Linked DNA regions of Kluyveromyces lactis. Each later gene encodes a partner of the first gene's protein in a complex. Links are inferred from orthologs where the notes say so. Each region holds a gene or a part of one and is shown on either strand. Other genes may lie near its edges.

Region 1 (4,107 bases):
TCTACATCAGATAGCGTACCTTCCACAGTTTCTCCATTTTTTAGTTCAACATGCATTGTTTGACCCTTTGCATTGGTCAATAAATATAATGGAAGCATTTTATGTTATAACTTATTGATCTGTTTTACCAATTATAGTGTGCCCGTGCTGTCGTATTTCTTTAGGTATCTCAAACCGTAGTAACTTAATCGTAGGAAAGGGTGGGGCCGGAACAATATACAATATACCAAAAAATTAGGACTCTGTCTGTCTGGAGAAGGAAAAATGTGAGGGAAAAAAGTATGAATTAGACTTTGTTGCTTATCTGCGTATCTGTAGTTTGAGTTATGTAACACTCCCTAGTAGGACGAACCAAATGCATACAATTGCATTGACAATATTTAAATTCCAATTACAATATAACTTCAGTTTTTCCAAATTTCATTGAGCTGGAAAAAGCATTCTCGACATTTCATAAAATTCATTTACCGGGTAACACTTAAAAGTTTCGAATCACGTGAGTGTCCCGGGTAATACTGACACGTGAATATAATCTGATTATTGATTTTTCTCTTATTTTTTCACTTTTAAGACTGTTTCTGCCCCCCTACTCCTTCGTGTCATACGGACCCTTCTAGGCGTTTTGAAAGGTTGCCTCAGCTTTGAATATGGGAACACACTGGAGTGAGGTTTGAAATGTGAGATCTGAGATTTTTTTTTTGGTGAGGCATCTAATCTTTCTTTTCCCAATTGGGTAAAGAGATTTGATCACAGTTTAAAATAAAGATTATAATCTTTTGAAAGCAGACTTTCTCACGCACTTTACAATGTCATTTATGATTTGTGTATACCTTTGTTATTAACAGTGTCTGTAGGCTACGTGAACTTAGCTAAATATCAGAGCATTCCAGTTGAGATTGATTTGGTCTGCTACTCCGATATCTGGATACATTTTTGGGCACTGGTGGAAAAGCTAGAATAACCGTAACTGCGTGGTATATTTTACGTTGAATTTTACAAAGTGAGCGAGCTTGAGATCACATTGCCAGGAGCAGAAGCAGAAGCAGCAGCAGAAGGTGACACTCGACTCGAAACGCTTTGTTGACTCTGGCGTGCTTTTCTTTGCTTTGTTTTGTCTAAAACAATTAGGATTTCGTGTGCATTTATTTCTTTCGTGTAATTATGGAACAACACTTGTCGCATCATAGCGGCAACGTTTTTGACAAGGAATCTATCCTTCAAATGCACATGGGCACTCATCATCATTCTGAGAATGATACACTTTTGAAACCGTTCAATTCTAATTTATTAGGAGCTAATAGTGGTGCTACCAATAATTCTTCTTCATCCACGGGAGCATCCTCTTCGATGATCGATGAAAGGCAGATCGATGGGAGTTTAAAGAAAATCAGTGAGGAACCTACTATGGCGGAGACAAGTGGTTATGACAGCGAATCGGAAACTTTCATTGAAGTTGCTACATACGCGGGCGTTGATGTATATGAATGTTATACCAAAGATAAACCTCCATGCCTTATCATGAGAAGATGCAACGATAATTGGTTGAACATAACGCAAGTTTTCAAAGCCGGTTCGTTTACAAAGGCTCAGAGAACCAAGATCTTGGAGAAAGAGGCCAATGAAATTAAACATGAAAAGATTCAGGGTGGTTATGGACGATTCCAGGGGACCTGGATACCCTGGGAATCGACTAAATATCTGGTGGAAAAATACAATATTAACAATAAGGTTGTCAAAAGGATTGTAGAATTTATTCCTGATCCAAATGATATGCCTCCTAGAAGATCAAAAGTATCTCAGATCAAGAAATTGGACCCGAATGCAAGGATTACATCACCATCAGCTTATAAGAAAACACCAAAGAAGAATGCAAAGACCCCAATGAAGAAAAAATCTATAAGGAGATCTGGGAAAAAGGATAAACCAGTTCAACCGTCCCCCTTACACAATGTTATGTTTCAAACACCTCAACAGCAACATCATCATCAGAGTCAAAATAGTAACCAAAGTACTGAAAAGCTTCCTAATTTGGCTTCTGAACAAGATACTCCAATGGTACCGGTCAGTAAGGTGAATCCTGATATTATTTCTCAAGCAAACCATCCAATCAAATACCAAACTACTCAGAAACCTTTGCAATTTTATCCATACCCACAAACACACCAGTTCCAACAAATGGTACCTGTTACAAACAACGTGGCTCCAGTGCCAGTCAACTCTAACATGAAATCTCAGCATAACATGAAAATACTAAAACAAATGACGCAGGGCAATGCTGGCAGTAATAATATGGGGCATTCTTCTGGGTCTATGATCTCAAACGTTACATCCACAGGATCCTCAATGGAAGTTTTCTCCTCCAACGATAAAGCTTCGTCTAGCTCATCAGAATCACCAACTCCACTCTCATCAGCTCATGATAAGAACGGTGTGTCCACAGAATATTATAAGGAACTCATTTTGGAGGTTTTATCTTCAGAATACGATTCCGTGGAACCTACGCTACCCGAAGCACTTTATAGGCCTCCATCCAATTTGGACATAAACTTCTTAATCGATGACCAAGGACATACGTCTTTACATTGGGCTGTCGCTATGTCAAACATTCCATTGATTAGAGTACTACTAGTCCAAGACGCAGATCTTCTCCGTTGTAATGATAAGGGCTTCAATTGTTTGACAAAATCAGTCTTTTACAACAATTGTTACAAAGCCGTTTCTTTCCAACAAATAATATCTATGTTAAATCCATGTCTAGTAACACCAGATGCAAATCATAGATTACCCTTGCACTACCTAGTCGAGCTGACAGTAAACAGGTCCAAAGAACCTCATGTCATAGAGTATTATATGGACACTATATTGGATACACTTGCCAAGGAGGATGAGAAACTGCTGCGAATGTCACTCAATCACCAAGATACATTGGGAAATACCCCTTTACATTTAGCAGCCCTCAATAAGAACGTTGATTTATGCCAGAAATTAGTATATTTCGGCGCGTCACCAGATATTCTTAACGGTGAAAATCAGACAGTATCTATGATACTGTCTCGTTTCACAGTTCCAAATATATTTCAACCAACGCTTCCTGCCCAGATTCTACAATCTCCACCCAAGACAACTTTCTTGGCGAACACTCCTCGAAACAGTCAAGAAGAGCGTATAGATGACACCAGCAAATACGACTTCAATGACACCACAGTGGATAGTATACAGACTTCAACTAGGAAAAACAACATAGTCGACCGTAACGATGTCTTATCAATTGATAAAATGAAAGGATCCTTAACTCCAGCAATTAAATTGCATCCACCATCTCCACCAACATTAGTGAAGCCTGTGAACAGATTACGTAGACCTGATGCTCAAAGAGTACGAAAAGAACAAAAATCATCATCTCCAACCATCAAGTCTACTGCTCAGTTGGGTTCTCTTACTCAATCTTTGAGCAACATAATTGAAGATAATCTTGATAATCTTCAATATAGTATACAGCTGAAAGAAGAGCAAATCCAAGAGATCGAGAACCAACTGAAGCACACCAACGCAAGAGAAAAGGCACTCTCCGATTCAAATAATAGAAATACGTTGGGATCCGCCCAAAATCAGCTGAAGATGAAAAACATTGAATTGGATAACTATATGGAGCGGTCGCAAGCGCTGTCACTTGCTACATTAGTACAGGATGAGGAAAACTGTCTCTCAAAGGACTCATCTACGGAAGCTACTAATGAATTCGAAAAGAAAGAATCCATAAAATTGATGGTAGAATTGTGTTACAAGCAGTTCAAGAGAAGACAAATGATTAGGAATATCAAATACGCTAGAGATCAACTGGTTTCAGATAGTAAAATATCAAAGTTCAGAAAACTTATTGGTATGTCCATAGACAATATCGATTCTAAGTTGAATGACATCGAGATGGACCTAAGCTCTATGGAAAAGACTCAGTCTCGCTAAGGACTTCTAACTTTTAATGACTTTTATTTACGCATACGGTGCACGTATAAAATGCACACGGCCCATTACTTAGACTTTACCTTTATAAGATTCATCTTAAATATCATAACTTACGAAACAAAAAGCAACAAGCCCACTGTAGCT
Region 2 (4,040 bases), on another chromosome or scaffold:
CTGCTAATTGAGTTAATAATGATATAGATGCAAATACGATAATTATAGAATCTCTGACATTGTTCATAACTGAGGCAAAAATGCAGAAATGATCAGACGCATTGGAATATTATTCAGGCGTCAAGTCTTCAAGCAACTTAAAAGCTTGCAGTAACTCGGCTTTTGCAGTTACTATGTCGTCATAGTTTAGAGCGCTTATTGCATACTTAGCACTTCGTTGTGCTTTTTGAATCCTGTGCTCCCTTGACATTATTTCTTTCAAAGTAGCAACATCATGTCTCACTGCCGGTTTAGGTGATTCTAATTTGATCGGTTCTGGCGTTAGCAACTTTATTGGAACTTCTGGCGACTCAAGCTGCTTTAACTTCTCAACGGATTCATCTACCTTCAAAGAGGGAGACGGACCATGCTGCTGTGCTATTTCCGAATCTTTTGGCTCTTCGAATAGCGGCTGATCCTCTAGATCCTCGACAAAATTTGGGATTTCATCTTCCACTTCGCTTAGTGGGTTACTATTTGTAGGTTCTGATGTGGTTTCTTGGGGCTTCTTGTCGCTTTGTAATTGTCCCCTTTTCAATTTCATAAGATAGTATTTGGAATGTTTGATCCTTTTATCGCATTGCTCTTTTACAATGGCATCCATACTATCCGCCCATATATGTTTACAGCATTGAAACAAATCTATACAGCACCATAGCCCCTTTCCTATATCGTCATTAATCCTATCATCTTGTATTTGTACTAAGATTCCGTTATAGATTGACATCGCAAGATTTAACACAAAAGCCAATGCTTTGTCTTTTTCATTCAACAGGATCTTAGTACCTTCATCATTCACCTCATTTTTAAAGCTCTCTACATCGTCTAATAATGACATGACCAACTCTGTCGCTTCCCCGTCTCGCTCCTTCTCATTCAATATTAGCTCTGCCGCATATAGTTTTAAGTAGTAAGATATAACAGGAAGAGTTGACAATTCTTTAGAGAGTTTAATGACTCTCTTGTACTGCGCTACATTGCTCATAATGTATCAAGTATAGTGAACGAAAGTCTTTTGGGCTGTATGAGCACGTCTCAGTCCCCTGGATACCTCATTCATTCCCTATCCCAATATGTCGATATTATGATAATATAATATACAAACGCCAAATGGAGAAAATTTATTGATTTTTGAATGTTAACCAAATTATGAACATCGTACTAATTTCACAATTGAGAACTCTAAACAACGAACAACGTTGACTGTACTAGTAATTGTTCTGGGATCCTTCACAATTTAACGGTATAAAGTGGACGATGAGCAGGCCTATTTTTAAGGTGCATAAGGGAGACCGTATTACTTTCCAGCAGCGACTTCAAGACGGATATGTCTGTCTGGACCAATTTATCCCTTTGTTGACCAACTTATCAAGTTTCAATTTCCATCGCGATGACCCATTGGTTGAGAATCTCGATGATATGGTCACTTCTCAATTCAATATACTTATAGACACTGATAGGTCTGGCACCCGATGGATCACTTTACAAAAAGCACATGAGTTATGGGATTTGCTGCAAATTAAAGATGATTCTGGTTCGGAAAATTTGACGGACCATGACGATGATAATGAAGCTAATCACAATGGCGTTGAAGACGATGGTCAGAAGACTCCTGAGAATAATGGTAGAAAGACGGACAACCACACAATGGAGAATGGTGGTACTGAAAATACAAATAACGGAAACAACAGCTCGAATAAAAATGATGGGAATGTTACTGCCGAAGGAAGTAATTTCAGGCCTGCAACAATTACAAATGGAACCACTTCTAGAATCAGTGGTGGTGAGCCAGACACTGTTAAACATGAGCTTCTAGATCTTCCCGATTCTCCTACGAAGAGGCATCAAACCAAATCTGTTTCAAAGATCCCGGTTTTCCAACATGATTTACCTACGGTCTCTACGTTACAGAAAACTCTGCCTCCAGTTAGTAATTACTCAAATGATGAACGTGCGAAGTTAGAGACCTTACTTCAGCGTATTCTTTTCCCCGAAACTACGAATTTGAACGTTGCAGAAGGTTACCCATCGGTCAGCTTAACCCAGCAGGTACAAGAACTGGACACACAATTCCCAAACGTTCCACTAAATTTTAACATCCCAATTGATGAACATGGAAACACTTCCTTGCATTGGCTGTGTTCCATAGCCAATCTAGACCTTCTCAAACAGCTCATTGTCTTTGGCAGTGATAGAAGAATCGGCGATAAGTCCGGTGAATCAGTGCTTGTAAAATCTGTGAAGTCGGTAAACAATTACGATTCTGGTACATTCGAGATACTGTTGGACTACTTGTACCCTTGTATCGTAATGGTTGATGACATGGATAGAACCGTTCTTCATCATATTGTGATTACTTCTGGTATGCCTGGTTGTAATGCAGCGGCTAAGTATTACCTCGATATTTTGATGGGTTGGATAGTTAAAAAGCAAAGCAGAACTAAAGAATCGCATTGCGTGCTACTAGAAGATATCGATCTTCAATGGGTTATCACTCATTTACTCAATGCTAGAGATTCTAATGGTGATACCTGTTTAAATATTGCCGCCAGGCTTGGAAACGTTGCCATTGTCGAAGCATTGTTGGATTATGGTGCTGATCCTAATATTGCAAACAATTCCGGATTGTGCCCTGTGGATTTTGGTGCAGGTACTCAACCCCGTTTTCAATCGAATACAAAAAATCTTATGGCCACACCTACCAAAACTCATGAAACTTCGTTGGATCCGATGGCTGAGTCTACATCGTTAATCACAAATATAAAATCACTCCTCTCAAAAATATCGAATGATTATGGTGATGAAATTAAACAACATAATGGGAAGATGAAGGAGCTCCTCGATACACTCAACATAAAGAGAGAAGCGTTGGCTAATGCACGGGATAGATTGGCTAAGGCAAAGCAAATCCAAGATGAATATAATCTGTTGTCCGACAGACTGAACAATGTGGAAAACACTATCGCTGAAGAAGATCAAAATTTCCAACTTGCTTCTAGAGAATTAGGACTATCACTGGATGATGTCCAAGAAGAAGGTCTGAACTCAGCCGATATTGCATTCGATGCTGATGAGCCTTTCAGAATCTCTTACGTTTACACAAAGTTTGAGGAAAAGATCAAAGACGAATATAACAATGATTTTGAACTATTCCTCAAACATTGCAATTTATCACAACTTGTTCATGAAATATACGATAACTTCCCTTCCAGAGCAGAAATCCCACATCCCAAAATTCTTAAAGCAAGAATCAAAGCGTACAATAGAAACGAATTGCATTTAGACTCAACTTTACAGACTATCAAAGACAAGCAGAAGAATTTAGAATCTAAATTCAGAAAAGTCTTGTCTCTCTGCTTGAAGATAGATGAAGAGAAGGTTGACTCAATGCTTGACGGTCTTTTGCAAGCTATATCTAATGAAGATCCTGAAGATATAGATACAGACGAGGTGAACAACTTTTTAGAGAGTGCCGCCGAATAAATACCAATTGATGGTAACCTATTTGGAAATAACTCTTGTTGTACTTTTATTTCTAACTAAACAGTTTACGCAAGCTGTTGTAATTTTAGTGGACTTTTACCTATAAAATACGATGAACCTTTTTTTTCTATTACATTTATTGCCTATGTATATATTTGTTTCTTCGACGCCTTGTGTTAAAAAGCAAGTCGAGCAGAATTTTTAGATTATTTAGTTGGTTTCTTCCAGAAATACTGTTTATGCACTCTCCTGCATGATCTTAAACCAGATCTGCCACCCTTGAGTGATGCTACCAGCTGTCTTCTGTCATCGTCAGGATCATTTTCTGCATCATAGTAGTATTCTTCATCCAGTGGCTTTCCTGCGGCATCTTTTCCTGTACGGTAAATTACTCCGATACATTGTTCGTCATTCAAAATAGCGCGCAGTTCTGTGCGGCTTAACTTCGAGACAACAGAGTTAACATCCTGCAATTGAAAGAGTGGCACTTGTTGAATGTTAGAGAATGCTAAGTGATT

What was found. Proteins that work in one complex are often made in the same cells at the same time.
Region 2: SWI4 (region 1) and SWI6 share a complex: the UniProt entries of both Saccharomyces cerevisiae proteins name them as parts of the transcription complex. The link is inferred for Kluyveromyces lactis from reciprocal best matches to the Saccharomyces cerevisiae genes SWI4 and SWI6.

The regions. Positions count from the first base shown.
Region 1 is NC_006041.1:1,852,378-1,856,484, reverse strand, and holds SWI4 (SBF complex DNA-binding subunit SWI4), read left to right. Parts: upstream 1-1,161; coding exon 1,162-3,963; downstream 3,964-4,107. Other genes in the region: U6 snRNA complex subunit LSM4, read right to left, coding at 1-98. UniProt on the Saccharomyces cerevisiae protein: Part of a complex involved in cell-cycle-dependent transcription. SWI4 and SWI6 are required for formation of the cell-cycle box factor-DNA complex. The repeated element in the upstream region of HO (5'-CACGAAAA-3') is called the cell cycle box (CCB).
Region 2 is NC_006039.1:143,011-147,050, forward strand, and holds SWI6 (transcriptional regulator SWI6), read left to right. Parts: upstream 1-1,296; coding exon 1,297-3,522; downstream 3,523-4,040. Other genes in the region: VTA1 (Vta1p), read right to left, coding at 110-1,024; TOS4 (Tos4p), read right to left, coding at 3,729-4,040. UniProt on the Saccharomyces cerevisiae protein: Part of a complex involved in cell-cycle-dependent transcription. SWI4 and SWI6 are required for formation of the cell-cycle box factor-DNA complex. The repeated element in the upstream region of HO (5'-CACGAAAA-3') is called the cell cycle box (CCB).